Linked DNA regions of Ovis aries. The protein of the gene in region 2 interacts with the protein of the main gene of each other region in a pairwise test. Links are inferred from orthologs where the notes say so. Each region holds a gene or a part of one and is shown on either strand. Other genes may lie near its edges. The genes, in order: RFC5, NAB2, NEDD9, MORF4L1, PHF1, ZMYND19 and CWF19L2.

What was found.
Region 1: the proteins of NAB2 (region 2) and RFC5 interact in binary tests that used the Homo sapiens proteins (3 or more experiments, as listed by UniProt). The link is inferred for Ovis aries from reciprocal best matches to the Homo sapiens genes NAB2 and RFC5.
Region 3: the proteins of NAB2 (region 2) and NEDD9 interact in binary tests that used the Homo sapiens proteins (3 or more experiments, as listed by UniProt). The two-hybrid records come from large-scale screens. The link is inferred for Ovis aries from reciprocal best matches to the Homo sapiens genes NAB2 and NEDD9.
Region 4: the proteins of NAB2 (region 2) and MORF4L1 interact in binary tests that used the Homo sapiens proteins (3 or more experiments, as listed by UniProt). The two-hybrid records come from large-scale screens. The link is inferred for Ovis aries from reciprocal best matches to the Homo sapiens genes NAB2 and MORF4L1.
Region 5: the proteins of NAB2 (region 2) and PHF1 interact in binary tests that used the Homo sapiens proteins (3 or more experiments, as listed by UniProt). The two-hybrid records come from large-scale screens. The link is inferred for Ovis aries from reciprocal best matches to the Homo sapiens genes NAB2 and PHF1.
Region 6: the proteins of NAB2 (region 2) and ZMYND19 interact in binary tests that used the Homo sapiens proteins (3 or more experiments, as listed by UniProt). The two-hybrid records come from large-scale screens. The link is inferred for Ovis aries from reciprocal best matches to the Homo sapiens genes NAB2 and ZMYND19.
Region 7: the proteins of NAB2 (region 2) and CWF19L2 interact in binary tests that used the Homo sapiens proteins (3 or more experiments, as listed by UniProt). The two-hybrid records come from large-scale screens. The link is inferred for Ovis aries from reciprocal best matches to the Homo sapiens genes NAB2 and CWF19L2.

Annotation. Positions count from the first base shown.
Region 1 is NC_056070.1:57,206,509-57,211,013, forward strand, and holds the start of RFC5 (replication factor C subunit 5), read right to left. Parts: upstream 2,825-4,505; 5' UTR 2,720-2,824; coding exon 2,658-2,719; intron 1,191-2,657; coding exon 1,126-1,190; intron 862-1,125; coding exon 725-861; intron 1-724. UniProt on the Homo sapiens protein: Subunit of the replication factor C (RFC) complex which acts during elongation of primed DNA templates by DNA polymerases delta and epsilon, and is necessary for ATP-dependent loading of proliferating cell nuclear antigen (PCNA) onto primed DNA.
Region 2 is NC_056056.1:162,521,739-162,526,222, forward strand, and holds the start of NAB2 (NGFI-A-binding protein 2), read right to left. Parts: upstream 2,907-4,484; 5' UTR 2,749-2,906; coding exon 2,666-2,748; intron 1,202-2,665; coding exon 328-1,201; intron 1-327. UniProt on the Homo sapiens protein: Acts as a transcriptional repressor for zinc finger transcription factors EGR1 and EGR2. Isoform 2 lacks repression ability.
Region 3 is NC_056073.1:44,062,502-44,066,852, reverse strand, and holds the start of NEDD9 (enhancer of filamentation 1), read right to left. Parts: upstream 2,901-4,351; 5' UTR 2,689-2,900; intron 1-2,688. UniProt on the Homo sapiens protein: Scaffolding protein which plays a central coordinating role for tyrosine-kinase-based signaling related to cell adhesion. As a focal adhesion protein, plays a role in embryonic fibroblast migration.
Region 4 is NC_056071.1:22,952,300-22,956,154, reverse strand, and holds part of MORF4L1 (mortality factor 4-like protein 1), read right to left. Parts: intron 2,430-3,855; coding exon 2,404-2,429; intron 1,989-2,403; coding exon 1,900-1,988; intron 1-1,899. UniProt on the Homo sapiens protein: Component of the NuA4 histone acetyltransferase (HAT) complex which is involved in transcriptional activation of select genes principally by acetylation of nucleosomal histones H4 and H2A.
Region 5 is NC_056073.1:7,741,163-7,745,645, reverse strand, and holds the start of PHF1 (PHD finger protein 1), read right to left. Parts: upstream 2,918-4,483; 5' UTR 2,402-2,917; intron 1,667-2,401; 5' UTR 1,651-1,666; coding exon 1,492-1,650; intron 1,409-1,491; coding exon 1,327-1,408; intron 1,229-1,326; coding exon 1,133-1,228; intron 350-1,132; coding exon 249-349; intron 155-248; coding exon 6-154; intron 1-5. UniProt on the Homo sapiens protein: Polycomb group (PcG) that specifically binds histone H3 trimethylated at 'Lys-36' (H3K36me3) and recruits the PRC2 complex. Involved in DNA damage response and is recruited at double-strand breaks (DSBs).
Region 6 is NC_056056.1:398,005-402,439, forward strand, and holds the start of ZMYND19 (zinc finger MYND domain-containing protein 19), read left to right. Parts: upstream 1-1,471; 5' UTR 1,472-1,613; coding exon 1,614-1,664; intron 1,665-2,200; exon of another isoform or gene 2,201-2,313; coding exon of another isoform or gene 2,314-2,319; intron 2,320-2,916; coding exon 2,917-2,976; intron 2,977-3,757; coding exon 3,758-3,864; intron 3,865-4,435. UniProt on the Homo sapiens protein: May be involved as a regulatory molecule in GPR24/MCH-R1 signaling.
Region 7 is NC_056068.1:15,806,206-15,810,060, reverse strand, and holds part of CWF19L2 (CWF19-like protein 2), read right to left. Parts: intron 3,516-3,855; coding exon 3,303-3,515; intron 1-3,302.

The DNA.
Region 1 (4,505 bases), on a different chromosome or scaffold from region 2:
CAAAAAAAGTAAGTTAAACCATTTTTTTTCTTAACAATAGACAATATTTAGAATTTCATAATCTAAGTGGATCAGTCGTGTCCCAGCAGTAAACAGCACACTCAAATTCGGTAATTTGAAGAGAATTAAATGAAGAGATATTTTCAAAGGTGCTCGTGAGGTGTGGGAGAAACCACAAGAGCTATGCAATACCTTATGGGCTACTGGGGCCCATTACCACTCTCAAGTCTTAAGGGGTTGTTGGGGGAGTGATGCTGGCTCCTGGGGAATGCTGGGTGCTGTGCCCTGTGGGTGGGGACACTGTCCGTCTGTGGTGACCCAGGGCTGGACCAGGCATCATTTTTCCCCCAACTCCTGGCCAAACCCAATAGGAGCCAGAGGGCAAGGGAGCTTGTCGGCAACACCGCCCAGTCTTCTGGGACAAGAACAGTGTGGAGCAACATGGAGAAGGGCACATGGGATACAGCTAGCAACCAAGTGACCCCTGAGTGTTTGAGTAAAAGCTGGCAAAAGCAAACAAAAACACCTGGCCCTACCACTGCCCTCTAGCTACACCCAAAATCTCCAGGCAAAAATGTCAATTATAGGAAAAGTGAATTGAAATATTGTATATCTGCTTCTTTCCCAACCACCAGCAGGGCAACTAAGTTGGAAAACAAAACTAGCAGAACTAAAAATAAGAAACCAGAGTCCGTTGAAAGTTAAGGGTAATCCTCTCATTTACCTCCAAGACCATGGAGCCAAATTCCTTATCTTTGTACAGCTGTTTAGCACAGGCCAGGATGGTGGATGTCTTTCCTGTCCCTGGAGGACCATACAGAAGGAGGTGCGGCAGGCGGTCCTCACTGATAAACTTCTGAACTGAAGATGGGGGGAGAAAGACAGATGCTATCAGTCTCAGTCGCCTCATTCACCGCGGGCCAGAGTTGGGCTGAGTCTACTTCACATCTGTGTTCAAATCCAGGGCACGGGCAGGAATGAAACATCTGAAGGATGCAGCTGTCAGAGCCACATCCCAAAAGCTTAGTCAGATTCTTTAAGGTTATCACAGCAGAGACCACATCCCTAAGCAATGTATCCAGGTTCTTCAACTAGGATACCAGCCACTGACACAGGGATACTTACTAGTACTCAAGATGTCCTGATGAGAAATGAGATCATCCAGTGTCTGTGGCCGGTATTTTTCAACCCTAAAATACAATGTAGCATGCATTACAACATATATAAAGGCCAGAATATTTTGTTAGGTGCAGAAGAGTCCTTTCATACATATCCTAACTAAAAGAAGAGAGATACAAAAACCTCTAACCCAGTGGTTCTCAATTGGGGCAATTCTGTCCTCCAGTGAACTCTTGATAATATCTACAGACTTTTCCCCTGTCAAAACTGGGTGGAAGGTGCTACTGGCATCTAGTGGATAGTCATCAGGGAAGTTATTAAACATTATGAAATGCACAGGCTAACCCCTGTGGCCACGCCCCCCTGAAAAACTGCTCTCATTTCACCTTTCCAGCTATCTGCCTATAATCTCAACCTGGATGGGCACCTAACGTTAATCCAAAATTGAACCTGTATCCAAATATAAATTAACAGATGAATGGATCAATAAATGGTGGTATAGCCATACAGTGGAATGTTACTGGCAATAAAAGGACATGAACTGCTGATCTAAGAAGCCAGTCATGAAAGGCTACATATTGTATGATTCAAGTTACATGAAATATCCAGAATAGGCAAATTCATAGAGACAGTAAGTAGATGAGTGGTTGCCAGGAGCTGAGGGAGAGGGGAATGGGGAGTGACTGCCAATAGGTATATTGTTTCCATTTGAGGTATATGAAAAACTTTGCAACTAGATAGTGGATGATCACACAACATTCTGAATGCACTACAAAATCGCTACAACTGTAAATTGTATGTTATATATTTTTACTATAGTAACAACAAACCGAACTCATTATCTTGAAAACTTTTGAAAAGAAATAAGTTTTTCAAAATCAAGCCAAATCCTATCAGTCTTTAAAACAACAGTAAGACACAGTTGTGGAAGCAGACTGGCTAAGAATGCAAGCTCTGAATGTGGACCACCTGGGTTCAAATCCAAACCTATTTTCCAACTCTAGACCTTAAGCAAGTCATTTAACCTTTTGGTAAAGCTGGAATAACAGTATCTTCTTCCCAGGGTCTTTGCAAAATTCCAACATCTAATAGGGTGCGTGTAACAAAGTCACTGAAATATAAGTTAACTAGGAAGTGCTGTCATCATCATTATCATTATTCTAGCTTAGAATGTGACCAGTAATCGCACCGAGAGAAGAGACTATTTTGTCAAGAGAATATTCTGCCACAGAGGCCAAGGCAATGTCAGAAGACATGGGATCGAACCCATGTTGTCACCCAAGTGGGGAAGCCGTTTTCCTCTTCCGCAACAGGAAAGGGGGCCCTGGGTTACGGGTGAAGGGAGACCTAGCCAGTTATAAATAGAATGGAGCAGGACTGGGGAGTTGAGGGCAGGTGAACTTCTGTGGCTCCACCCCGGCCTCAAGTCCGGGGACTGCGGGGCGAGGTCGGGCTGGAGACTGGCCACTTGTTCACTCGGGCCACCGCCTCCGCGCGCGGCCGATCCCCTTCCCCGCAGCAGCCAGGCCCCCTCCTACCAGGGCAGGTTTCTGATCTTGGCCGCCTCAGGCTGCTGCTGCTTGTGCGCTGAGGTCTCCATAATGATGATGGTGATGATGGTGGCCGGTGGGCTTGTCGCGTTTCCCAGAGGCCCGAACCTCGCCAACAGCCACAACCAGACCCCGGGACCCTCGCACTTAGAGTTAGCGCGCAAACGCAACTCTCGCGAGATTTAGCGGCCATCGGACTTCCTCCCTAGGTCCCGCCCCCTCCCCGTTGCTAAGGCCCTGTTGCCTGGTTGCCGGCAGGCCCGGGCGGACGCCTCGCCCCAGCTCCGCCCTTTTCTAGCTGGATCTCCCCTCTCTGGTGTAGACCAGAGTCCTGAACCCAGAGGGAGCGCGCGCCTGAGAGGCACGGCCACCCCGTACAGCCACCAATCATCATTACAAATTAAAGTCTCACGGCCAAAGCCAATTCCAGTCGTCACCAGAGTTATAGCTGTTACCCTTCAAGGGAACAGAAAGCGGCCAGCGCTAAAAAATTCTGAGGTAAAACAACCCGAAATGACATGACCAGTTCTTGAATACAGATACCATAAAAAACAAGGCTTGAAATACTTTTTGCCCCCAAAGCTAGGAGGTGAGCACTTCAAACTGAAAAACAACTCCAAGCACAACTCCAACTTCAGTCTGTCTCTCAAATCTATGCCCCTCACCCAACAAAATTTACAGAACGACCTCCAGAAACAACTCCAGAGAGGAAAAAGTAAATAATAAGTAACTTCCCTCCAGGTTAATATGTGTAACTGGAAAGGGCTAGTTAGTAAGCGAAGAGGACAGGGTCCCTCTGACGTGAAGCTGCTGAGGAGAATTGGTATCAAAATGTTAGTATTTTTTTTCTGAGGTAAGGGGATTATGAACCACTTATGTTTTCTATTTTGCTGGTCTGTAGTTCCCAGCAATAAGTGTGTATTATATCCGTAATAAAGTTTGGCTGTTGTTTTGGCTGCGCTGGGTTTTAGTTGGGGCGCGCAGTATCACGCGAGATTTTCATTGCCGCCTGTTGGATCATTGTTACAGCACACGGTCTCTTCACTGTGGCATGTGGAATTTAGTTCCCTGACCAGGAATGGAAGCCAGGCCCCTGCTTTGAAGGCTCGGATTCTTACCTACTGGATCACCAGAGAAGTCCCTGCTTTTTGTTTGTTGGTTGTTGGTTTTTTTTTTTTTGCCATGCTGAGAAAGACAACAATCCTGAGAGGAGATGAGGCTGACCCAGGATTACAAGTGTTCTGATTTAGAAGTAGCTGCTCCTTGCCTCCTACTACCACACTGTCACCCATTTTAGGAGTAGAATAGAGGGACAGAGGGCAAATATAAAATGACAGTTATGGCTTCACCCTGGTCCCTTCCTGGGGAGTCAGAAGGGGGTCAGATGGGGCTGTGATATGACAATGTCCATCTGTCTGACTTACTTCATTTAGTATAATGACCTTATTCTTTATCATATGGATATCCAGTTTTTCCAACATTATTTTTTGTAGAAACTATCCAATGAGTATTGTGTTCTTGGTTCTTTGGCAAGTATTCAGTTCAGTTCAGTTCAGTCGCTCAGTCGTGTCCAACTCTTTGCAGCCCCATGGATTGCAGCATGCCAAGCCTCCCTGTCCATCAACAACTCCCAGAGTTCACCCAAACTCACGTCCATCGAGTCGGTGATGCCATCCAGCCATCTCATCCTCTGTCATCCCCTTCTCCTCCTGCCCCCAATCCCTCTCAGCATCAGAGTCTTTTCCAGTGAGTCAACTCTTCGCATGAGGTGGCCAAAGTATTGGAGTTTCAGCTTTAGCATCAGTCCTTCCAATGAACACCCAGGACTGATCTCCT
Region 2 (4,484 bases):
TGGGTTACTGACACTACCAGGAGTTTCCTGGGGGAGGAAGACAGAGGGCAGCACCCAGAGCTTCCTATGAATGCCAGGGACCTCCTCCAATCCTGTGGGGTCCTGGGTGGCATGGAACTGGACAGCTGGCCTCTTGCCTGTGTCTCTGCATCCCCCTCAGTTGAGCAGGGAAGCACAGCAGCAGCTGGGGTTGGTGGAGGAGGGGATCAGGACTTTGGGTCCTGGTCATGGGGCAATGAAACAGACTCGGCAAATGTGAGGATTCTCAGAGGTAAGCAGGTCAAGCTCTAGATGTCCCAGGCAATCCTGGTAGGCTGGGGCCCTCACCTCGTGCAGGCTGAGCTGCTTGCCCTCCCGCCGCTTGGAGTCAAAGCGGCCGTAGATGATGCTGTACTTGCGGATCTCCTCTTCCTTCTGGCTGTCGTTATCGTCCATCTCAAAGATGTGGCCCACACTCCGTGCCAGCTTCTTGTTCAGCTTCAGCAGGGATGTCACCTCCCCAGCATCCCCCCTCGGGAAGCTTCGGAAGATCCTCTCCACGCTCTCCACCACCATGCGCACCATCTCTGGCTCCAGTCGATCTGGACCACTCCCAGTCCCAGCTGCTGCCAGGCCCCCAGCCCCAGTCACCTCAGGGCCGCCTCCCCCTGCTGGTGGGGAAAACGGGGGTGAGCCAGCCTCCTCTTCTCCTCCTGCCCCAACATCAGACTCTGGAGTGCTCCGGCCTGGCCAGATCCGGGGGTCCCCCGCCCCAGGGCCCCCAGGCAATGGTGACAGCTTCTCTCCAAGTTCAAGGGGGCTCTTGGGGCTAAAACTGCGGGCACTGCCCGCCTTTTCCCCCGGGCTGCCATGCCCATTGCTCATGCTCCCTTTCCGGGTCCCTGCCGTCTCAGAGATCTTGAAGAGTGGGATGCTGGAGACAGGCACTGCAGGCACAGGCTGGCTGAAAAGCCCTGGGTTGGTGGCCCACTCTCTCAGTGCCTTCTGCAGGCGTCGGACGTGGAGGGGCTTAGTGGCCATGCCCACGAGCGCCATGATCTCCAGGAACTCCTCCTCCCCCGCCTCGCACAGCTGCTGCACGTCGTCCCCTCCCTGCTGGATGAAGGTCTCGTAGTAGGAAAGAAGGTTGGCACGCTGAAGGACCCGGTACAGCTGCAGCTCCCCCAGGGTCCGAGGCAGGGCCATGGCTCGGGAACTGGGCCTGGGAAGGAGGCGCACAAGGTTGGGGGGGACAGTCAGTGCAAGTTCCCTGCTGGGTACCAACCCATCCTCACAATTGTCTTCTCTTTCCTGCCTGCTTCTCTTCCCCTCTTTTGAATGCTCTCTCTGCTGAGACTTGAGCACAGACTAGGCGAACCAGCCACTGTTCAGCAGCAGTGCTATCCCAGACTGGCTAGAAGTACCAGAAGCCAGATTGGTCTTTGTGGGAGTCAAAGGCTCCAAGCTCCCCCATCCTCAGCTTTTACTTTTGTGGTCTGGGGCAAGGAGACCATGAGTATGAGGCCAGTCAGTACACCCCTGGATTAGCTGGACCAATGTCTCTTCCAGAGCACCATCCTCACCTTCCACCCTACACTCCTAACAGTCTTAACAATACAAAGTTAATGTCCACGCTGAGGTGAACATAGGACCCTTGTCCTCCCTACAGGGGAAACTAGGACCACTGCTGGCCAGCTTTATTCCCTGGTGGCATCCTGCTCATGTGGCTGAGCAGGAAAGGTGTGGCCTCTTCCCCTGCCCTTTCTCACTGTGAGCCAGGCAGACCATCCATCCTCTGCTCCCTTTTCCCACCCCTGCTCAGCTTTTCGCACGGCTTAGGCATTCTTTGCACCTTCTTGCTCTCTCCCCAGGACCTCCCCTACCTTCCAGACTGCCCAGGGCCCCTCAGTTGGTCCCTCTCCCAGCAGTGACCTTCCCACCTGCTCCATAGGTAGGGCCATCCCTTCAGCTCAGGCACGGGGGAGGGGAGGGGTGCCTCAATTGTTCTGCTCTGGGGCCCGGTGCGCCCCCACACACTCCCACAGTGGTAGCGTCTGTGGGCGAAAACCGCCGGGGGGGGCCTCCCGCCTACCCTTCTCTCCTTCATTTTTCCACCCACATCTTCAAGTGTGGGGGAGCGATTCAAGGCCTCTTGAGGGAGGGGTTGCACATCGAAACTCCCCTCCCCACTCTGTAAATAAAGCTACAGAAATGAACAGACGCCTAAGGCTTGCCCCGCGTCTGCAAAGCTCCTCTGATGCTCTCTTGGTTCAAAGGCGCCGGCTTATCCCGGATCCCGGAGCCGCGCGCTCGGTACCAATGACGCGCTGAGCCAGCTGAGCGGCCCTCCGCCGGCACTATTGTCAGCTAGAGCCCCAGGGCTTCCCCTGCCGCCTGGGAGCCCCCGTATTCTTTGCAGGGGGCTCACATGCCAGGTCATGCCCCCCAAATAAACGGGCAATGCAGAATTAGATACTATTCTTTCTCTAGTCTTTCCAGTTGCATCAGATCTCTGTCTGCTCTCAGGGCCCCCTAATTCGAAGACGCACCCCCTCTCCGTCAGTCTCCACCCCCCACCCCCGTCCCGCTTCCCCTCGTCCTCTCCTCGACCTCCGCCCTCCGGACCCCTCTCCCGAGTCCAGCTCCACCCATCTCCACTCCCCGCCGCTTCCCTTTGCCCACTAACTTGAGTCTGGGCTGCGGAGTCCGGCGGGCGCTGTCCCCTCCGCCCGGCGGCTGCTCGGCTGTGGGGGAGGCAGCTCTGTGCATGGACGGCTGGAGACTACCCGGGGTGCCCTTCTCAGTGCCCGGCGTTCAGCGCCTGCTGCGCGCTGCGCTCTTCCCCGCGCGCGAGGCCGTGTCCGCCGCTGTCCGGGCTCCGTCCCTCCCTCCACGTCTCCTCTCTCCGAGCCTCCGCGCCTCTGTCTGTGCCTCTGCCCCCCCCTCCCCGGCTGCGCTTGCCGCCTCTCCGCGCCTCCGCCCCCGCAGGACGCACGGGGAGCGAGGCCCGGCGCAGCGCTGGCTGCCGGGCGGGCGGAGGGCGTGGGCCGAGCCGGGGGCGGAGGCCGGGGGCGGGGGGCGGGCGCCCGGGTCTCTCCGCCGGGCCGGGGAGACGCCGCGGCGGAGAGACAGAGAGAGGCGGAGATGTTGGGGGGAGGGGAGGAGTGTGGAGATGGAGGCGGGGGCGGGGACTCAGCCCGGGGCGCCGAGTTGGAGACTGAGGTGACCGAGGCCGGGCTGTGGAAGGCGGGCTTGGGGATCCAGCGGGCGGGGCGAGGTCGCTCCGTGCCGCCCACGCCGGATGCACAGCCGGCCTTCTCCGCGCCCACGTACCCACGTGAGCGCCCAGCCGGCGACATTCTTACTCCCACTCCCCCTTCCCCTCCGAGAGGAGAGCGGAGTTTCACAACCACGCACAGGTACACAAAGACACCGAGCAGCGCAAAGGACGGGCACACGCGTCTAAACAGCTATGCGGACGCCTGCTGCCCACACTTGAACCTCGCGGTGCTGTACTTGTAAACGTTAGGAGTGAGCCGGGAAAAGTTGTTGGAGACTCGGGGTGCGCGTCTCCTTTCGTGCGTCTGACTCCCATAGAGAGTGCGCTTAAGGCAGGTCTGTGAGCGTGGGCTCCGCAGGAGTCTCTTCCATCTCCAAACGCACTTTCCCAGCCCCTAAAGGAGCTGTTTGAAGAGGCAGTTCTCGGAAACCCAGGCGCCCTTCCATCCTGGCCTGGAGTCCACGTCCAAGTTTGGGAAACAGGAATGGGCGGGGCTTGTTAGAAGCTACCACTTAGACGCGCGTCGATTACAGTCGCGACGGGTTTTGCTGGCGCACAGGTCAGGCAGGCATGGGAGGGGTACCCCGCCTTCCTCTACTCGTCGCACCCTATTTGCTGAGGATGGGGACCTGTTCCTGGGAAACTGTTGTGGCAGCCCTGGGAGAGAGAGGATACCCTTTCTAGGGACGTCTGTTAGGGCACTTGGCCCGCAAGAGTCCAGAGTTAGATGGGCAGCAGGCCGAGTGTGTCCAACGTGGCTCCCTACCGAGGAGTGGGAGGGAGGAGCTCCTTCGAGGAGCCTACCCCTCTCCGAAACCCACTCCCTACCCCCTTTGTTTCTCCCAGCTCCATCTGGTTCCCATTACACTCCCGCCCACGGCTGGGAGGGCGGACAGGCGGGGGCTCTGAGCGCCCGGCCCTGCGGCACTAGGCCCCGAGGAAATGCAGGAGGGTGGGGGGAGGCGGCGGGAAGCGAGCCGGCTGGCCAGAAGCAAGGTTCCCCCTAGTCCAAAACCTCGGCCCCGCCCACCCTTCTGCACTTCTGAGTGGCCCGGGGCGGCCTGGAGTGGGTGGCGTGGGCCAGGGCTGGTTCTACATTCCGGCCTGGCGAGGGGACCTTTCGGCCTTTAGTGGAGGGCCGGAGAGGAGGGGTGGGGGTGCATCGCATCACCGGGGGGAATTTCGGTAGCCCAGATTCTCTTCTCCATTCCATAATGCCACAAAC
Region 3 (4,351 bases), on a different chromosome or scaffold from region 2:
TACACAGATGGACTTTTCAGAATTGCCAACCCATATCCCTGCAAAAAGCACTCCTATTAACTAGAGCTGAATAACTTGCTAGTTTTTTCAGATAAAATTTACATACATTTAAATGCAAAAATCATAAGGGTTCAATTTACTGAGCTATAACATTTTGCATACTCCTAATATCACACTGAAATGTCATCTCTTCCTTTGAAGACTGCCTGGGTTGCCTCCCCTTGCAGCTCGAACATTTCTCTATTAGAAAACTTACTACAATTATTTCTCTGATGCCCACTAGACTATAAACGCATGAAAAAAAAAAAAAGGGACAATGCTTCTTGGGGCCCCCAGTTCCGAACAGTATCTGGTATATAACAAGGTATCAGTGAAAGTTTGCTAAAGAAGCAAAATGACATTGGAACAGATAGCCTGCAGCTTTAAATAAGGGAGCTGTATAATTTTAAAGTTAAGATCTGCTCACTGTGTCTACTAAATCACCAGTAAGGAATGTATGATAAGAATTGTCAAGACACAAAAGGGAGAAAAGGCAGCAGTTGGAACACAAATAAATCATTAGGTTCCTAAGACGCCTCACAAAGACGTGAAACTCTTTTTAATCATTCATGGAGCCTCTAAAACTGGTGGGTGGTACAAATTGCCACCACAAGATTTATATAGTAAAACCTTCAGCTTTTATAACATGTTTAAAAGCAAATGAATGTTACCTGTCCAAAACCTAATGGAGAACATTTTTGTAGTTCCTGTTTGATATGCTGACACCTGAGATTTTCTATTTTCAAAAGAAAAGCAGTGCATAATCAAATGTGTTGACACACAGATATTTCTTTGGTATCACTTACTATTTTGACCAAGGGATAGGTTACATGAATTGAAATCTGATTTCGCGGTTGCTTCTGAGTCATATCAGGAGTTGCTCTTCTTTTTCTTAATTAAAAAACTCAAAAGAAAATATATATTGTTTTGAATATAACTAAGTAAATGTTTTTTAATTCCTGTGAGGAATTACTACAGAGGAGTTCTATGATATATTCAACTCACAATGGGTTTATTGGGACATAACCTCATTGTAAGTGGAGAAAGGTAAATAAATCCAAAGTATATAGAATGAAGGAAATAGTAAAGAAAAGGAACCAATGAAACAGAAAACATAAATGACAGAGAAAATTAACACAAAACATTTTTTTCCTTTTGAAAGAATAACAAATTTGAAACCCCCCACATGGGTTTCCCTGATGGTTCGGATGGTAAAGAATCTGCCTGCAGTTCAGGAAAGCCAGGTTTGATTCCTGGGTCAGGAAGATCCCCTGGAGAAGAAAAGGGCAACCAGCTCCAGTATTCTTGCCTGGGAAATCCCATGGAAAGGGGCGCCTGGAGGCTACAGTTCATGCGGTCACAAAGAGACAAGATTGAACAACTGATACTTAAGCCCTACATAGGCTAATCAAGAAAAAAATAAGAAAAACCACTAACACCAGGAATAAATGTGTGAATATACTACAGATGCTACATATATTATTAACAATTTGATGTTAATAAATTCAACAGCTAGATGAAATTCCTAAACAATGCAACTTACCAAAACAGACACAACAAGAAATAGGAAATATTGCTGAAAATGCATTTATTAAGTAAACTGAATTTGTGATTGAACTCTTTCCTTAAATACATCAGGGTCAGATGGTATCACTGGTGAACTCTTTTAAACATTAAGGTAAGAAAAGGTATCAAACTTACATAAATGTTTTCCAAAACAGAAGATGAGGAAACGCTTTGCAATGTGTTCTATGAGGTCAGCTAGACCCTGGTACTAAATCTGACACAGTCATTTAAAAAAAAAAAGAAAGAAAATAAAAACACCGGTCGTTTCCAACTGGCTACCTAGTCTGGTTTCCTTTTCCCTCCCCCAACAGGCACACACACTGCGGGGAGGGAAGGGAAGAACAGGTTAGCTGGTGGGCGACATCATCAGACTGTCCCCAACTGAACAAGGAAGTTGATGCAGCCCCATGTGACTTTCTTCAGGTTCCTGCAAGATCTAGACAGAAGCCAGAATTCGGCAAAGAAATGTAAGATACACGACTTAGAAGATAAACCACTTGATCTGCTAAGCAAACATTATTGCCAAATGCCTTAAGTAACTGATGGCTTGTAAAACGAGTACTTATGAGAGAGTTCTTTGAGATTATGCTATGCCAGCAGTCATTGATGTCACCAGTCATACGAACAACCCACATGGGGACACTGAAGATGAATAAAATAATGGAGTGATCATGAAATCAGAAATACAAACAGAAAAAGGAAATGGTAAAATTCTGAACTGGAACAAACACAAAGGAAGGAAACCTATAGCAATCCTCGGAACGCTGATGCAGAAGAAGAAGGCAAAGAATAAGATTTTTTTATCCTTAAATTATGCAGAGAATAAGGTCGAAGAGTGCCTAAAATCTTTATCGGAAGTTCCATTTTTATAAAGCACATGTCTGGGTTAATGAAGCTGACAAATATCTCAAAAGGTCTCTTTTCTCCTTCTGGCGTGCAGAGGATTTTCTGGCCAGGCAGTTCTGAGAAAATGCTTTGAGACAACGGCAACTGACACATCCATCTTTTTGAAAACACAGCAAAAATAGGTGCTGGAGATGGCGAGAGTGTCACCGGAAAGAAATAGGAAAGTGAGAGACTCACCTCTTCCATTATCACTGATAATAAGATGGGCATAGCGGGGGAAGAGCAATCACCAGTATTGCTGAGGTTCATCAGGGAATCAAGGTCACAGTGAGGAATACGGACTCTCTTCCTTCAGAAGCTGATGCAGACATTTTAGCTGTGAAATTTCACTCCGTGCTAATGGAAGAGCAGGGGACAAACATGCACTGATGCGGTCTGGCTTAGATTATGTCTAGTGGACTTTCCCCCGAATGCAAGTCATGCTGACTAGACTTTTAGGGAATAACCCCATGGTATGTACACAGTCTATTTTTCCTCTGCCTTAAATATGCGGTTGTCAGAAGCAGTGTCTGTTGTGGGAATTATCTGTTGCTTTGTGAACAATTAAAGATGTTTGTTCTTTTTTCTGTTGATCACAACTGCTATAGAGCTCAACAATGTAATATCTGTTCTCTTTTAGAACAGTGAGGGATAAAAGGCAAATGAACCAAAGCAAATTTGCCATTCTCCATGAATAGCGGGTATAATGCTTTTGGAATTTTTGTAGAACTCCTGCAAATCCTTGCTTTATGTTTAGATGGCATAAATAATGATACAAATGTTAGCTAGAATAACTTTATAGCTGGTTGAGATTTTGTTCCCCGTAGTGCACTGACAGATTTTTCATTTTAATTATCATTGTTGTTCATCAAAATGTCCTATTTTTTAAAAATAGCCTTTGGGAAAATTCCCAGGGCCACACTTCCGATATTTCTTTGCTGCCAGCACCTTTACTGCTGAATTGCATTATATGAAGGGATGGAAAATATCTATATTTATTGTAAATTTTGATTTGAAAAAACCGTGATGCAGCACCAGACTTGATTTTAAGTCGAATTTCCTAGAACTTCCTTGGGGCTCAGCAAGATAATCTCCACTAACCCTTGAGAATTACTGTAAACAAATACTTGCTGTCCCAACAATGAGGCACATTACTCAGGACCTTACAGATATTTTCTTAGAATAGCACCTCACCATTCTTAAATGCTTATCTCTTACAGCCTCAGTCACAGAACAGCTCACAGTCAACACCATGCCAACATGTAGCAAAGTGACTAATCCACTCTCAACACACTCTCTGCCAACCTTTGCTGTTGGTGCTGCGTGCTAAGTTGCTTCAGTCATGTCTGACTCTTTGCAACCCTATGGATTGTAGCCCACCAGGCTCCTTTGTCCATGGGATTCTCTAGGCAAGAATATTGGAGTGGGCTGCCATGCCCTCCTCCAGGGGCTCTTCCCTGGATCGAACCCAAGGATCGAATTCAGGCCTCTTAGGTCTCCTGCATTGGCAGTTGGGTTCTTTACCACTAGCGCCACCTGGGAAGCAGGATCAAACAAAACACGGAGGGAAAGACATAGAGCATCCATTAACCATGTACAAAGCCCCCTACCTGTCTCACTTCAATTTTTTTCTTATTATTTATATATGGCTGAAGGATTTCTCTGCAGCTCAAATTGTAAAGAATCTGCCTGCAATGCAAGAGATCAGAGTTCAATTCCTGGGTCAGGAAGATCCTCTGGAGAAAGGAATGGCAACCCACGCCAGTATTCTTGCCTGGAGAATTCCACGGACAGAGAAGCCTGGCAGGCTACAGTTCACGGGGTCACAAAGAGTCGGACATAACTGAGCAACTAATACATA
Region 4 (3,855 bases), on a different chromosome or scaffold from region 2:
AAGAGCCGCTCTAAGAGTTTTCTAAAAGCTTTTCTGAACCTTTAGAGGCACTTGGAATAAATTCTTTACTCAAACGGACAGCTGGAACTGTCACTTGGAAACAGTAAAATGAATTAAGATCATACAGCTAACTCCTGGGAGAAAAGAATCTTGATAGTCTACTTGATGCTTTTTCATGTGAAGGGTTTTTTTTTAAAGCAAAATTTCCCTTCTTCTATAAATGACCTCTCCAACTTGATGTATTTTAACTCGGTATTTTCAAAACTTATTCATTTCGAATAGCCACATCTTCAATGAAGCCCAAACACGACCCTCTTAAAGTTACATCTTTATAAGATTAAATGTATCTTCTAATTTGTCAGTAACTGCCTAAAAATGTCTAATTTTTAGAACATGCCGGTGTTTTAACCTCAGCTTCAGAAATGTAAACGGTCAGTTATACTTTTAAAACTTCTTTTCAAATTCATAACTTGAGTTATAAATATAGTAAATTAGACATTTAATTCACTTATGTAAAAATCCTAAACTATTATACCCACACACATACACGTGTAACTGATATGCTTTCTCAGCATTTTTCTGTGGGTTTATTAAATCAGTAAATCAATTTAATGTGACCTAGTTAAGTCAATTCAATCTTAATACCAAAGAACTATTTAGTCTTATACAAGAACACAGGGCTTAAAACAAACATATGATGAGTTAGGGATAAAACCTGGAAAGAATACACCTAGTGCAACACATGAAATAAAGATGTATACAAATATATCCTTTATCTAAAAAATAATATTTTCACTTCAGTAATTAAAAGAAATCTGTATGCAGGTCAGGAAGCAACAGTTAGAACTGGACATTGAACAACAGACTGGTTCCAAATAGGAAAAGGAGTATGTCAAGGCCGTATATTGTAACCCTGCTTATTTAACTTCTGTGCAGAGTACATCATGAAAAACAATGGACTCGAAGAAGCACAAGCTGGAATCAAGATTGCCGGGAGAAATATCAATAACCTCAGATATGCAGATGACACCACCCTTATGGCAGAAAGTGAAGAGGAACTAAAAAGCCTCTTGATGAAAGTGAAAGAGGACAGTGAAAAAGTTGGCTTAAAGCTCAACATTGAGAAAATGAAGATCATGGCATCTGGTCCCATCACTTCATGGGAAATAGATGGGGAAACAGTGGAAACAGTGTCAGACTTTATTTTGGGGGGCTCCAAAATCACTGCAGATGGTGATTGCAGCCATGAAATTAAAAGACACTTACTCCTTGGAAGGAAAGTTATGACCAACCTAGATAGTATATTCAAAAGCAGAGATTACTTTGCCGACTAAGGTCCATCTAGTCAAGGCTATGGTTTTTCCTGTGGTCATGTATGGATGTGAGAGTTGGACTGTGAAGAAGGCTGTGCGCCGAAGAATTGATGCTTTTGAACTGTAGTGTTGGAGAAGACTCTTGAGAGTCCCTTGGATTGCAAGGAGATCCAACCAGTCCACTCTGAAGGAGATCAGCCCTGGGATTTCTTTGGAAGGAATGATGCTAAAGCTGAAACTCCAGTACTTTGGCCACCTCATGCGAAGAGCTGACTCATTGGAAAAGACTCTGATGCTGGGAGGGATTGGGGGCAGGAGGAGAAGGGGACAACAGAGGATGAGATGGCTGGATGGCATCACGGACTCGATGGACGTGAGTCTGAGTGAACTCCAGGAGTTGGTGATGGACACGGAGGCCTGGCGTGCTGCGATTTATGGGGTTGCAAAGAGTCGGACACGACTGAGCGACTGAACTGAAAGCAATGCTTCTGAGTCAAAGTTCCATGACTATTTTATCCGTATTGTAACAGGACAGACTAAAAATTCTAACATGCAATTATTAACATAAATGTAAGGAAAGACTCACATTTTCAACAGTAGGGTCTACTCGAGCCCTTTTCTTGCGAGGAGGCTGAGGTGTCTCACTAGTGCTGCCACCATCTCCATTTCCAGGTGCTGTAAAATTTTGGGGGTATGGAAGGGAAATTGTTGGCTTAATGAGTAACTCTTTACTCCTTGACCCTTCCATTACACAGACGTTACTTAAATCTACATTGAAGAATCAGATTCCTACCAAAAATATACCTCTTATGAACAGCTCATCTAGTACAAAGCAATATTTAATATTACCATCTATTTTTTATCTCAGGGTCAGTCATTAAAAAACACAAATAGAATAAATGCTTATGTTTTTCCACAGTAGAATGTCAGTTCTCTACGGCTATGTACCTAACTCTGTAACACTGCTGTGACTCATGAGACCATCAACATATGCTTACTCTAAAACTTCGTGACTTAAAATTTAACAATGAATTCAAAATGCAAATGTTACAAAGGCAGATTAATTAATTCAGACAGTTAATATACTTACTCTTCTGTTTGTTCTTTTTTGTCTTCCTGAAGGGAAAAAAGGAAAAAGCTAATTATCACTATTGTCTCTGGTTTAAATTCCCTTCTACCAGATTGAGTCCATAGAGAAATACTGCCTTAATGGTAAGATCAGGCAGCTATCTTTGCCTGATCTTATTTCTTGCATATTCTTATTTATTACTCAAGACTCAAGGACTTTTTTTTACTGATAGCTGGCTCAATCCACATCTCCCTCTAGACAGCAGAAAAATCAAAACCATATCATAAGATCTTCTCCCAGGGTTTTATTATTTATGTCTATTAGTAAGTTTATAGCATGTAAATTATATTAAAAAGAACCTGCTTCATAAGACTATTAGTTCAACAAACACAAAAAAACTCCAAAGATTAAAATATTTTCCCCAATTACTTTAGAACCAGCATAATTTGACGTTAGACTTATGTTTCACACCAATGCTCTCACTGGTCAAACTGTTTCACTTTATTTCTTCTCGAAACTACATTCCTTTCTTTACAACACTAAACACTCTGCTCATCCACAGAACAAAGCCTGTGTCTAGACTATTATGTCTAACAGTAATTTATCTCATGGCTATTTATGTATGCACCGACAGTGAATTACTAATCCTGACATAATATCTAATTATTTCTGGAACACAAAGAAAAAAGTTTATAAAGCCATGATTATAGATTATGCCTAGAGGGACCATCACATTACACCTGAATGTGTTTGCTTTTCTACAGTTTTAATATTTATAAATGTTAACTACCTGTGTTTACTCTAAGTTTTCCAAAGATCAACATCATGGAAATATGTTACTACTTATTAACAAATAAAGCTATGAATTAATCTCAAATAGTAATCCTTGCCAAATCAATCAATTATCTTAACCAAATCAATTATCTTACCAAATCCATTAATCCTTGCCTAATTATCTTCTTACCCCCCCAAAATAAAACTGCAAACATTTCAAAATGCATAGTTATCTTCAATACTGTCTTTAATCTTTAGGTAGTAAAGTCACACTAGTTAAGGTCTAAAAGCAATAGAATCTAATCTCAAGGAAAAAGATACTGAAAAAGCAAATCTAACCCTCAAATCTCAAAACTTGTGTCTTGAGAATCCAATGCTAATGCTTGTAAAAGAAAAACACATTATAGGCACACGTCTGTTCTAACTTGAATGACTGTAAGGGTGTAAGGGAATTCCCCGGTGGTTCACTTGTTAAGACTCTGCACTTCAACTGCACAAGGCAGGAGTTTTGCCACCCAGTATGGCCAAAAAAGTAAAGATTAAACAAAGGAGGGGTTGTGTATGTACTTAATGCCACCCAACTGTACACTTAAAAATGAGTTAAGTGGCAAAAAAAAAATTTCTAAGGAAAATTAAGGAGTCAATATGTAATCAATATATAGTTTCAATAACCCAACGCCAATGAGGTTCTCATTGGCA
Region 5 (4,483 bases), on a different chromosome or scaffold from region 2:
CTCACTCCCCAGGGCCACCACAGTAACAGTAGCTCTGCTGGCGGTTGCTCAGATGTCCAGCGTCCCAGTCCAACCCCTTCAGTCCATATGGCAGGGAGAGCTTCATGCCCAGCATGGCCCGGGCGTAGGGGCCCTTCTTCAGTGCACCCCCCCTCTGCAGGTGGAACAGACAGGTGGCCTCAGGGGTGGAGGAAGGAAGGGTCCAGGAGAGGCTGAGAGTTGGAGGTCCCACAGGGAGGGGCCCTTACCTTGGTGGCGATGGCAAAGACGCACTGGCGGCAGACCCAGGATGCGCCCTCTCCCTCTCCAGGGGCTGGAGCCCTTGGAACGTGGCAGTCCTGGTGATAAGCTGAATAATGAGAATATTGACAGTAGACCACTTATTGCATTGCGTACCTGTGCGCGCTAGGTATTGGGACAAGAGTCTTAACCCCATCTCATTTTGTTCTTGACCATGGTCCTGGTAAGGTGGGTGTATTATCTTTATTTTAAAAGCAGGTGAGGCAGCTGTGATTCTTAGAAGTTTAGGGACTTGCCCAAGGTCAAATGGTTAGAAAAAGCCGTACTGGAACTACCCTCTGCCTGCATCTGGGACTTCCTTGATAGCTCAGTTGGTAAAGAACACCTGCAATGCAGGAGACCCTGGTTCAACTTCTGGGTCAGGAAGATCCCCTGGAAAAGGTATAGGCTACACACTCCAGTATTCTTGTGCTTGGGCTTCCCTTGTGGCTCAGCTAGTAAAAATTCTGCCTGCAATGTGGGGAACCTGGGTTTGATCCCTGGGTGGGGAAGATTCCCTCGAAAAGGGAAAGACTACCCACTCTAGTATCCTGGCCTGGAGAATTCCATGGACTGTACTTTTCATGGGGTAGCAAAGAGTCAGACACAACTGAGAGACTTTTGCTCACTCACACCCTCTGCCCGCAGAGCTCATGCATCCCATCCCAAGGCTGCCCCTCCCTGTGCTGGCAGGGAGTGAGGTTACAGGCTTGTGGAGACTGCTCAGAGCAGTGGCTTGGGGACTCAGACCAGGACAGACAGTATAAGGACCAGAGCTGGAGAGAAGGATCAGAAGCACCCTGGTAGACCTAGGGCAAGCTAGACCATTCAGGTGTCCTGCCCTCTCACCCACCATGGCGACACTTCTCACAGCTGACCAGCCGGTTCCCAGGGACCACAGTCTCAGAGCGACATACACAGCAGAGGAGTTCCTCCCCAGGGAGGGCCGCTGTGAGAGAACAGAGTGTCAGAGGGCCTGTCCTCCAGCCCCTTTCTGTCCCCCATGCCAGGTTTGTTTTCCCTTGGATCCATTCTCAGGCTTCTCACCAGGGCTAATGTCTTTCCATAGAACCAGAAACTGGGAATCATCCTCAAACTGAACCAAACACACCTCCCGAGCACTGTCCACCTGGAATGGGTGAGCACAGAAGATGGAACAGGAATCAGACTAGATAAGGGGAATGAGAAAAGGTGACAGGTCAGAGGTCATACCTTTTTGATGGTCCCCAAGTATAGCAGCCCATCTGTCCATCTGGCCAGCACATCTTGACCCTCCCAAAGTCGAGGCCGGGGGCCTGAGGTGGGAGCAGGAGAAGCTGGGTCCCAAAGTGGGGGGGCACCAGAGCGGCTCAGCCGGGGGGGCTGTGCCATTGCATCCTGGGGGGGCCTAGTTAGAAGTGAGATGGTAGGAGAAAGTTACCAATATTGAGGAACTAGCCCCCATTTTCTTTGCCTGTTTTTCTGTCAAAGGCTTGAGCAGGTGTGCCCAGCCTCCATTTCCCTGAGACACCTGGGTAGGAAACCCCTGGGCACCCCTTGGGCCTTCCTGACTCCAGCTCTCCCAACAGTCACCAGTGGTTCTCTTCTCCCCACCGTCCCCCCACCCCACCAACCTAGTTCTCTAGTTTCCCAGCTGCCAGAGCTCCCCTGGGACGTTGTATCCCGGCCTTGAGATTTTAGCAAAAAGGATGGTTGCAGAGGCAAAGGTTGCCACTCAGTTTCTACTGTCACCTTCTACCGCTGTTTATAGAGGTATTACAATTGGGGTGCTGTTTCCCAGAGACGTGTTTTGGGAGCTTTTTCTGGAGATGTTTTCGAGTGGAAAAGGTTGCCTCCGGGGCCCCCGTGTCTCATTCAGAACAATCATCTTGGTGCTAGGTTATGTCAGGTCACCCTCAAATTCGGGGCTCCCTGCCCCCGGGTTAGAGAACTTCCCTGAGTGCCCCGGGAGGGGGGCGTGTCCCAGTCCGGGTCTCTTCTCCCCAGGACGGCGAGTGGGAGAGGGGGCTTGAGTCGGCCCAGCCCGACCCGCCGCCCGGGCGGCGCGGCTCTCCCGCCCGCGCCCTGCGCGCCGACCCCCGGCTCCCTGCCCCCCCACGGGCGCCTCCCGCCGCCTCCTTACCAGTGACAGCTGGGGCCGCCGGGAGCCGGGCAGAGGCAGACGTGGGAGACTGAGGTGAAACCCCCGCGCGGGGAGGGCACGGCTGGGCGTCGGGGGGGCGTGCAGGCAGAGACCGGGGGGTCCCCAGGCCCAGCCCCTCCGTCCCGGCGGCTCTGGGGCGTATGACGCAGCAGCCAAAGCAGCGGCAGCGGCAGGAGGAGGCGGCGGGGGGAAGGAGGGGAGGGGAGGGGAGGGACAAACCTGCTCGGGGGGAGGGTGGAGGGAGGGGAGGGCGGGGGGAAGGAGGAGCCGGGGGGGCGGGCACCTCCTCACCCCACCTCCCTCACCGCCAGCGGGCCTGGAGGGCGCGGAGCGAGTGGGAGCGTCTCCGTGGATGGGGCGGGCGGGCTCGCGGACCCGGCGGGAGAGGGAATCCCCGCAGCCCCTTCCTCCGGAGAGAGGCCTGCCCTCGGGGCAGGAGGGAATCCCCCGCTAGGCCGCCGGCCGGGCCGCCGCCCCGCGCCACATCCGTTAACTGCCCCCGGCCCCGCAGGGTCACTCCGGGCCCCGCCCCGCGCTCCAGTTCACGACCCCGCCCTCCATTCACCCGTCCCATGGCCCCCGCCCCGCCCCGGCCCCGCGGGCTCCGCCTCCTCCCGCCTTTGCCCCGGCCTCCGCGGGCTCCGCCTCCTCCCGCCTTTGCCCCGGCCCCGCCCCCCCGGAGTTAGATGCCCCCACCCCGCCCACTGTCGCCGCGCCTCTGCGCACGCGCGACCCCTCCCGCGCGCGCGGCACCTGGGAAGACCCAGCCCTCTGACGGGGCGGCGGCCCTCGGCGCTTGGCGCGAGGGAGTTAGCCTATGCGCCCCGCCCCGCGCGGCCGAGGCGGGTGCACCGACTAGAAGAGCTCGGACCGAGGCGGTGACGCCGCCGAGAGCCAGCCAATGGCGGCGGGCGGAGCTAGCCCCGGCGGTTCGAAAGGGAAGGAAAAGAGCGGGAGGAGAGAGCCCGCAGCTTGTGGGCGGACGCGCCGGCCCCGCCCCGGACTCCCACCTTTCCGCACTCAAGAGTTCCTGCCCCGGGCGAGGGTGGCCTGTGCCGGAGGAAGCGGAACTAGTGACTGGACACCTGGTGCGCGCAACCCCCCGGACGTGGATAGGGACGGGAGCAGGGCGGGGGCCACCCTGACTCTGGAGTGACCCGTTAGAAAAGCCGGAGCCCTGTCCCCGTGAGACACAGACGTTTGGCAGAATGGAAGAGCCACAGCTCCCCCCTTATTGGACAACCGCTAATAAAACCTTTATTTAAAAACAACAAAAAATTCTCTTCTTTATTTGATAGGCCCAGGTATCAGCGCCCACTACCCCCCTCCCCCCCCCCCCGTGTGTCTCACACATACACACACACAATCTAGATCCATCTTCATTTCTTGTTGGCCTGGGCTGTGCCAATAACACACTGGTTCACCTGCAGACAGGGGATTTAGACAAAACAGGATAAAAAAATTTTCAGAGCAACCAAAAGTTTTCCCCAAATCACCTCTGAACCCTCAGTGTTAGGGCTGCCCTCAGAGTCCTGAAATAAGGGCTCTGAAAGCAGGTTCAGGCTGGTCTCAGTTCTCCCGCGCCCACTGTCCACACTAGATCTGGAAGAGGAGGAAAGGCCAGAGAAAGGACAGAAGCCCCTCACAGGAGCAGAGAAAGGCACTTCTAGACACCCTCAAAGCCCTCCCACCACTAGTGCTCAATAAGCTAGATAACACATCATCATAAACGTAGGAACCAAAGCTCCTTAGAAAATTAATGATCTTCAGTCTAGGGCAGGAAATGTACAAGATGAATCTGGAGAAAGGACTACTGAGAACTTGTCTAAAGGGCACAGGAGCCAAGTTGGAGCTTCCACTGGCCAAAGGCAGGCAATTTGAGCATCAGAAAGAATAATGACTTCAAATGATATATTCCAAAAGTACAAGATGTTACCTCCTGGATAAAAACTCACTGGTCACCTTTGGAAGTTGCCAGGATACCAACTTATAGTGAAAATTGATGAAGAATATAGCATTTATCCCATCTTACCTATCTGGATTGAATTTCAGAATAACCAA
Region 6 (4,435 bases), about 160 Mb from region 2:
TTTTTATCTTGCTAAGCCGCTGACAATTTAGGGTTGTTTGTTACTGCAGCATAACCAGGGCTATCCTGACTGCCGTCAAAGGTGGCCCCAATACCATCATTTCTTAGTCGGGTAAGCTTGCATTAGCTCCCTAAACGTCCTGCCTGCTCCCACCCTTCCCTCACTGTCTGCATCAGCTGCCATGATGCACTAAAAAGCTATTCCTCCTTTCCTATCCTCCAATGGCTCCCTTTTCTGAGTGTAAAAGTCACAGTGCTCCCCAGACCCCACACCCTTCCCAACCTCCACCTCTCTGGCCATGTGCCCTGTTGCTCTGATGCGTTCATTGGCTCACAGAGACCGCCTCCGCTTTTCAAAAACGCCCAGCTGGGGCCAGATTAGGGCCTTGGCACTGGGCTCTCCCCGCTGCTGGGGATGCTGTTCCCCTGGAGCCCGCAGAGCTCACCCGCTCTCTCCCCCCCAGTTTGCTCAGGTTACTTGGCAGTGAGATCTACCCCGCCTCCACTTTCCCGGGGCCTCCAACTCCCTGATGCTGGTCTACTCGTTTCCCCACAGCGTTGATCACTTTCTAACAAGGCGAGTAACTCGCTGGTCATGGGCCTTTTCTGCCTCCCTCGCTAGAACAGGAGCAGGGGTTTGCTTGGTGCACCGGTGTAGAGCGGTTTCATTGGGGGTTGGGAGCGAGAGCCATTTGGAGTGGTTGCCAGGAGACAGGTATACCCCCAACCCCCGACCCCGAATCGTCAGGTCTGGGAGTTCCTGTTCGGGAAGGATTTGGAGCAGGCTTTTCAGCGCCCCTTCTCGAAGCCCAGGGAAGGATCGTGTCGCACAGGCATGGGCTATGGGATCCTGATCCCGGCCCATGCGCGGAGGCGGCCAGGGAGAAGGGCGGGCGCAGTTCCCGGTCAGCCAACAGCGCTCGCTGGGCTCCCACGTTCCGAGGGCACTGGACCCAGCCACGGAGTCATACGGGCCCCGGGACTCCGGATCCGCGAATCCACCCCGGCCTCCAGCCCTCTGTCCAGGGACTAGTCACAGGGAGCCGCAGCCAGCCCCGACCTGCAGGGCCCGGACGGCCCAGGGTGCCCAGCCAAACCGCCCGTTGCGCGGGCCGAGGCCGGGCTCGGGGGTCTGCGCTGCGAGCGGGTGGCGCACCCTCCCGCACAAAGCTTCCCGCGAAACTGACGTAGCGCCGGGCGGCCGCGCAGGCTCCGCCCCCGGCCGCGCCCCTCCCCGGCGCGCTCGCCGCGCCCCAACGCGCCTGCGCACTCGCCCTCCCGCCACTGGCTGCGGCGTGGCGGCGCGCGCCGGCCGGCGCCCTGCGCGCCGCGCGATTGGCCAGGCGGCGGCGGGCGGGGGTGTGTCCGCCGCGCGCCCCGCCCCTGGCTCCGCTCGCGGAGGTGCGCGCGGCGGTGGTGGCGGCGGCGGCGGCGGCGGCGCGTGGCAGGTCCGGCGGGCGCCCGGCGGCGGCGGCCCGACCCCGGCCCAGCCTCGTCCCGCCCGCCCGCCCGCCTGGCCCCGTTCCCGGCCCCCACTCGCCCGCCCGGCGCGCCGCGGCCCCGCCCCGGCACCTCCCGAGGGAGCGGCGCCGCCGGCCGAGCGCAGGCCCGGCCATGACCGACTTCAAATTGGGCATCGTGCGGCTCGGCCGGGTGGCCGGAAAGGTGCGCGGCGCGGCCTGGGGCCGGCGTCGGGCGGGAGGCGTGGGGCGCCGGGCCGGGGCCGAGGGCCGGGGCTGGGGTGAGGCTAGGGGCTGAGCGGCGCTGGGGGGCGCGGGCGCGGGCTGGGAGTCGGAGTCGGCGTCGGGGGTGCGAGGCTGGGGGCGCAGGGCCCGGCCAGCGCGGCGGGACGCACGGGCACAGGCCCTAGGTTCGCCGGCGGCCTGGTTCCTGGGGCAGCTTTGGTCCAGTGCCGGCTCCGGCCGTGCGCCGTGGGTCGAGGGCTGCGGCTGTGCCTGCGGCCGCGGGGAGCGCAGGCCCTTCCGGGGCAGCGCGCTCGGTCTCCGGCGGCCCCTGCGGGTCCGTAGTGAGCTTCGCGCAGGGCTCGGGCTGCTCGCGGCGGCCCCGTCGGGCTGAGCCTCAGTTGGCCTCGGCCGAGCGGGGCCTCCCTCTGCTTCTCTCCCTTACCGGGCCCCGCCCTCCGCGTGTTCGAGGCTGGGGCTTCCTGGCACCTGTGGGCATTGAGGCTTGGCTGTTTCCAGGAGCCGGCCGGCCGTGCAGCTGAACCAGCCACGGACCTTACCCTGGATGGGAACCCTGTTCCCATCACCAGCGGCGGAAGCTTCTGGTGGGAGAGAGGAGCAGAGGCAGTCAGATGAAGGTAAAGCCGGTTCAGATAACTAGTAAAAAGCTCTCCAAGCGAAAGTGAGACTGGTCCATTTCGGGGACCGTTTCCTGCCCTCCCGCAAAGGGCAGTCACTTTCTAACTACGGAAGGGTGGGCTCCTTATTAGCCTTGCGATCTCTGCAACTCAGCGGTTGTCTGCAGTAATGCCATCCTTTAAAACTTTTACTTGGAACGTGTTAGACGAAGAGATAGGAGGGACAGTTCCATGAGCACCTGTGTGCCGCCTGCCTGATGGTTGGAACCTTCCAGATATTCTGCTTCAATCCCGGGGCCCTGCCTCTATTCTTGTGACACCGTGGTCTCGGACTGGGCTTATGGACACATTGACACGCACAGCTTAGTGGATGAGCAGTTAGTTCTCAGGCACTTCTCATGGCTAGTCGTGAGCAGACGGCAGGTGGGGCCTGGCGCCACAGCTGTGCGCTGTGCTAAGTGGGGAGAGAGCGGCCTTTGGCACATCTGCCTGCCTTCAGGGTGGATTGGCCGCTCTGAGCCCGTGAGGGCTGCTCCTGCCTACTGTTAGTGCCCTGTGCTGATTCCAAATGTGACGTCTTCAAACGTTAATTTCCAGACCAAGTATACGCTGATAGATGAGCAGGACATCCCGCTGGTGGAGGGCTACTCGTTCGAGGTAAGGATTCTGCTCCTTTGCTGGCCTGCCTACGGTCGTGCCAAGGGGGGTCATGAGGGGTAGGTCTTCACCCCTGTGACGTGAGGCAGGCCCTTGCATGTGAGCTGCTCAAGCAGGCGGGTGAAGCCCTGTCCAGAACCCTGGTCTCCAGGGAACCTGTCTGTCAGTGTGGACCCCCCCCCCCCACCGCCTCCGTGATGCTTGCTGTCTTTCTCACTTCCACGTTGCTTGCAGGCTCTTCCCAAAAAAGAGACAAATGGTGCCATGTCTGTGATTGAGTTCAGTCGGATAAACTGCTGTGCCCAGGGAGACTGTCCAGGACTGCCCCACCTCCTCTCCAGCCTCGGCCTCCTGCAGGGCCCGGTGCCTTTGTTCTTACCTGGCTGTTTGGGCTCCAGTCCTCACCTGCCTGCTCCTCCCTCCACCCTGTAGACCCAGCCCACTCCTGTCTCACCCTTCACCCTTTTATGCTTGCTTGTTCCAGGGCTTACCTTTTTTTTACTGGATTAGGGACTTTTTTTTTTAAGGGTAGGGAGATTTATTTCCCTGTGTCCACGTCCACAGTATTTTGCAAAGAGTGGTTCTTAAGTGTGTCTTGCCTTCATGTAGGCGGGTACTTCTCCGTGCCACGTGTCTGGAAGCCTCCAGAGACCACCAAGGTCCCAGGAACAGGCCTGGCCTTTGTCCCTCTGGCTTGTTTCCTTCGTTTTTCTAAGAGGAATTTGGAATGTTGTGGAGAATTGCAGGCTTTTTAACAGAGCTTTTTCTTGTTTCTTCTCAGGCCCGGATGGAAGTAGACGCAGATGGAAATGGTGCTAAGATATTTGCATATGCCTTTGACAAAAACCGAGGGAGGGGGTCGGGACGGCTCCTTCATGAGCTGCTGTGGTAGGTGTTTCCAAGCTGCTGCTTCCCTTTCTGGGTTAGCACCAGCCTTGCGGTGCGAGGGGCTTGGGCAGCCAGAGGCCCTTCTGCCTCGTCGACAGATGATACCTTGCCCAGGCCTCCCAGTCACGTCTTTGTCATTGCCCCTGCCTGGAAGGATGGCTGCTCTGCGTCCCCTGGCGCTGGCAGGGTGGCCTGAGAGTCTGTAGGCCATGTGCCCTTCCTGCTCCCAGCACTCGGGCCACAGCGCCTCTGGAGGCGGGTGGAGTCTGGCCCCTTCTAGGTCCCTTTGAGCTTGGCGGTGGGGCACGGGGAAGAGCCGTCCTCCCTTCTGTGTGAACGCTGAGGTTCCGGAGTGCTTGGGCCCACTCAGCGGTGTCCCCCAGGCTGTGTGCGAGGTGGCTTGGGGCTCCACCTTGGCTCCCTGGAGCCTAGCGCTCAAGTCCAGGGGCTGGCCTGTCCCCTTTGGGCCACAGACCGGCAGACTTGGGTTCCCCTCAGCAGCCGTGCTCCCGATGGGCCAAGGGCCATTCAGTGCGCGTGGCTGAGACGAGGGGTCGGGGAGCCTGTCTGG
Region 7 (3,855 bases), on a different chromosome or scaffold from region 2:
AGAAAACGTCTCTTTGCTGGCCAACAGTTTGTGTCACTAATTGAGAAATGCCTACTATGGGACACAGTCTATGAAGCAGGAGGCAAACAGAAGTTTTGTATACTTCACACCTCTGTGCCTGTGTGGACCTAGCATGTCTTCAGTGCATTTGGGAAAATGAAGTCACTGAAAAATACCCAAACTTTTTATATAGAATTATTGAAAACTTTGTTACTTTGATTTATTCTTTTCCACTGTTTCCCATCTATTTGCCATGAAGTGATGGGACCAGATGCCATAATCTTAGTTTTCTGAATGTTGAGCTTTAAGCCAACTTTTTCACTCTCCTTTTACTTTCATCAAGAGGCTCTTTAGTTCTTCACTTTCTGCCATAAGGGTGGTGTCAACTGCATATCTGACAATCTCCCAGCAATCTTGATTCCAGTCTCTGCTTCATCCAGCCCAGCGTTTCTCATGATATACTCTGCTAAGTTAAATAAGTAGGGTGACAATATACAGCCTGGACGTACTCCTTTCCCTATCTGGAACCAGTCTGTTCCATGTCTAGTTCTACCTGTTGCTTCCTGACCTGCATACCGATTTCTCAAGAGGCAGGTCAGGTGGTCTGTATTCCCATCTCTTTAAGAACTGCCCACAGTGAGTGGTGATCCACACAGTCAAAGGCTTTGGCTCAACATTCAGAAAACTAAGATCACGGCATCTGATCCCATCACTTCATGGCAAATAGACGGGGAAACAGTGGAAATGGTGACAGACTGTATTTTTGGGGGCTCCAAAATCACTGCAGATGGTGACTGCAGCCATGAAATTAAAAGATGCTTACTCCTTACAAGAAAAGTTATGACCAACTTAGACAACATATTAAAAAGTAGAGAGATACTACTTTGCCAACAAAGGTCCATCTGGTCAAGGCTATGGTTTTTCCAGTACTCATGTATGGATGTGACAGCTGGACTATAAAGAAAGCTGAGTGCCGAAGAATTGATGCTTTTGAACTGTGGTGCTGGAGAATACTCCTGAGAGTCCTTTGGACTGCAAGGAGATCCAACCAGTCCATCCTAAAGGCAATCAGTCCTGAATATTCACTGGAAAGACTGATGTTGAAGCTGAAACTCAAAAACTTTGGCCACCTGATGCGAAGAACTGACTCATTTGAAAAGACCCTGATGCTGGGAAAGACTGAAGGAGAGAGAAGGGGACAGTAGAGGATGAGATGGTTGGATGGCATCACTGACTCAATGGACATGAGCCTGAGTAAACTCTAGGAGTTGGTGATAGACAGGGAGGTCTGACGTGTTGCAGTCCATGGGGTCGCAAAGAGTCGGACACAATTGAGCTACTGAACTAAAGTGAATTTATCCTTACATTTCGTAAAGGTAGGGGCCAGACTGAGGGGAATGAAATATTTATATAAAATGTCCTAATTATGAAAATATAAATGTTTATTTAATGGTCTAGAAAAGAACATGGGAAAATTAACACAAATAACTGGTAAGATTGGTTAAGGGTTTCTGACTGATTAAATTTTGAATGGACTTTTTTACTTTTACTTTTTGATAAAGTCTTAGGAGAAGGGAATGGCAACCCACTCCAGTATTCTTGCCTAGAGAATTCCATGGACAGGGAAGCCTGGCAGACTACAGTCCATGGGGTCACAAAGATTCAAACACGACTAAGCAACTAACACACACACACACACTTTTGATAAAGTCTAGAGGAAAACAAAGAAATGGAAAAGAAGGGTAACGAAAAATTAAAAGTTAAAGAAACCAAAATTCAAACTGATAAACTGATGGTCTTAATGACCTAAAGGTATTAAAGACTAGAACTGGAATGAAAAAGTCAATACCAGTTCTTTGGCTACAAAGGTACTGTGTATGTGTGTGTAACAAATAATATGTATATGTATACTCTCCACAATATTGGTTTCTGAAACTAGCATTCATTCATTCAACTTCCTTTCCTACCACTTTTTCTCACTCACTCCACTCTAGCTATTCTGGGTTTGTTTTTTTTTTTTTTTTTCTGTTCCATAAATGCCTTCCTCTTGTCTTCACTCATTGACTGACACCTTTTTCTGAAACATTACTCATTCAGATCTTCATGTTGCTTGCTTCTTCTCATCTTTCATAGCTTTACTTTCATACCTTTAAAATATCTCCTCAGAGAAGCCTTTTAGATCAGCTTCTCAAAAAATAACCTCCCATCATTTCCCACATATCCTCTCTATATCTGTTTCATAACAACAGTTCCTTAAATCAGGGCAATCATTACTCTGCTCTGTTTCACTAGAAAACTAGCTACACAAGTATATCCGATTCTCTACTTTTCCCCAGTGACTAATTAGGTTCTGGCATACATCTGGTACATGATAACTATTTACTTAACATAAGGATTAAATTGCCAAATGCTGAAATAAATGACTATTATTACCGGCTATTAAATAAGTGATATTTAGTATTTATTGAGAAGGGGACGACAGGGACGAGACGGTTGGATGACATCACCGACTAAATGGACATGAGCCTGAGCAAGCTCCAGGAGACAGTGAAGGACAGGGAAGCCTGGTGTGCTGCAGTCAATGGGGTCACAAACAGTCAGACACAACTGGTGACTGAACAACAAGAATATCAAAAGAAGTGACTGTAAACATACATGTTTGGTATATAATGAGATATATGCAAGTATACAATGATAAGTAAAAGTTACCTATACTCATGGAACTAACAGACTACTGAGAGAGACACTCAACAAGTAAAACAAAATACAAATATGAAGGGCTGACTGGGACTTGACCATCTGTGGATTTTCATATACAAGGACTGTAAAACCAATCCCCAGTGGGTTACCAAGCAGAAACTGTACAATAAACTTCTTCAAATTATGAGATAGTCTATAAAGAAATAAAAAGATTTCATAAGAATGTAAGGGAAGAAGCAGAAGCTACTTTAAAGTAAGTAGCTCCGAAGTGATTTTAATACTGAGACTTAAGTGCCAATCATGAAAGTAAGATCACACAGATGGGAAATGGCAGAGCAAGGGTCTGAATCCACGTGGTCTGGATCCAAAGTCTAGGGCCTGAAGCACAACTCAATGCTGCCTATCTGTAGAATGGAATTACATGAAATATAAGTTTCATATCATTTGAATATTTATACTCAATCTAAAGAAAATTCTAAGAATCATGGGAACTTAGAAAAGAAAATATATAAAACACAGAGTAAGAGACGGATTACTGAGAACCTTAGAAGCATATGGAGAAAGAAGCATTTCCTTAGGACAATAATCACTGTGTTTCTTACCTTAACACCTATTGCAACAATAAGGTGCTTGGGAAACTGAGAGCTGTCAAAACAATACAGACATTTTTCCATTTGTGCAATAAGACTCCGGTGCTCAGCAATAGCTTTTTTCCTCTGATTCTCTTCCTCTTCACCAAAACGTTCTCTCTCAGCTGCTTTGGAGACAAACATGTCATCCAGAGTATAATAATCTCCGTCTGTTTTTCCCATAAACTAAAAAATGAAAATAAAGGTAGTGAAGAAAAGGCAGTGGTTTATTCAGTTTATTGTACAGTGTCATGAAAAAAGTAAAATCAAAGTGTTAGTCACTCAGTTGTGTCTGATAATACTATGGCATACTGAAGTTGCATCTATAAGTTCTGTGATAAAACTATTACATGAAATTTTAAAAAAGAAAAAACTGATTAAAATTTAAGCTTGAATCACAGGGGTCAATTTATTATCATCATCATCACAAATAAAATGTATTGAGTATTTGCTATGTGCAATTCTATGCAATTTTGGTGTACTGAGTATTTACTATGTGCAATTCTATGCAATTTGACTGTTTTAT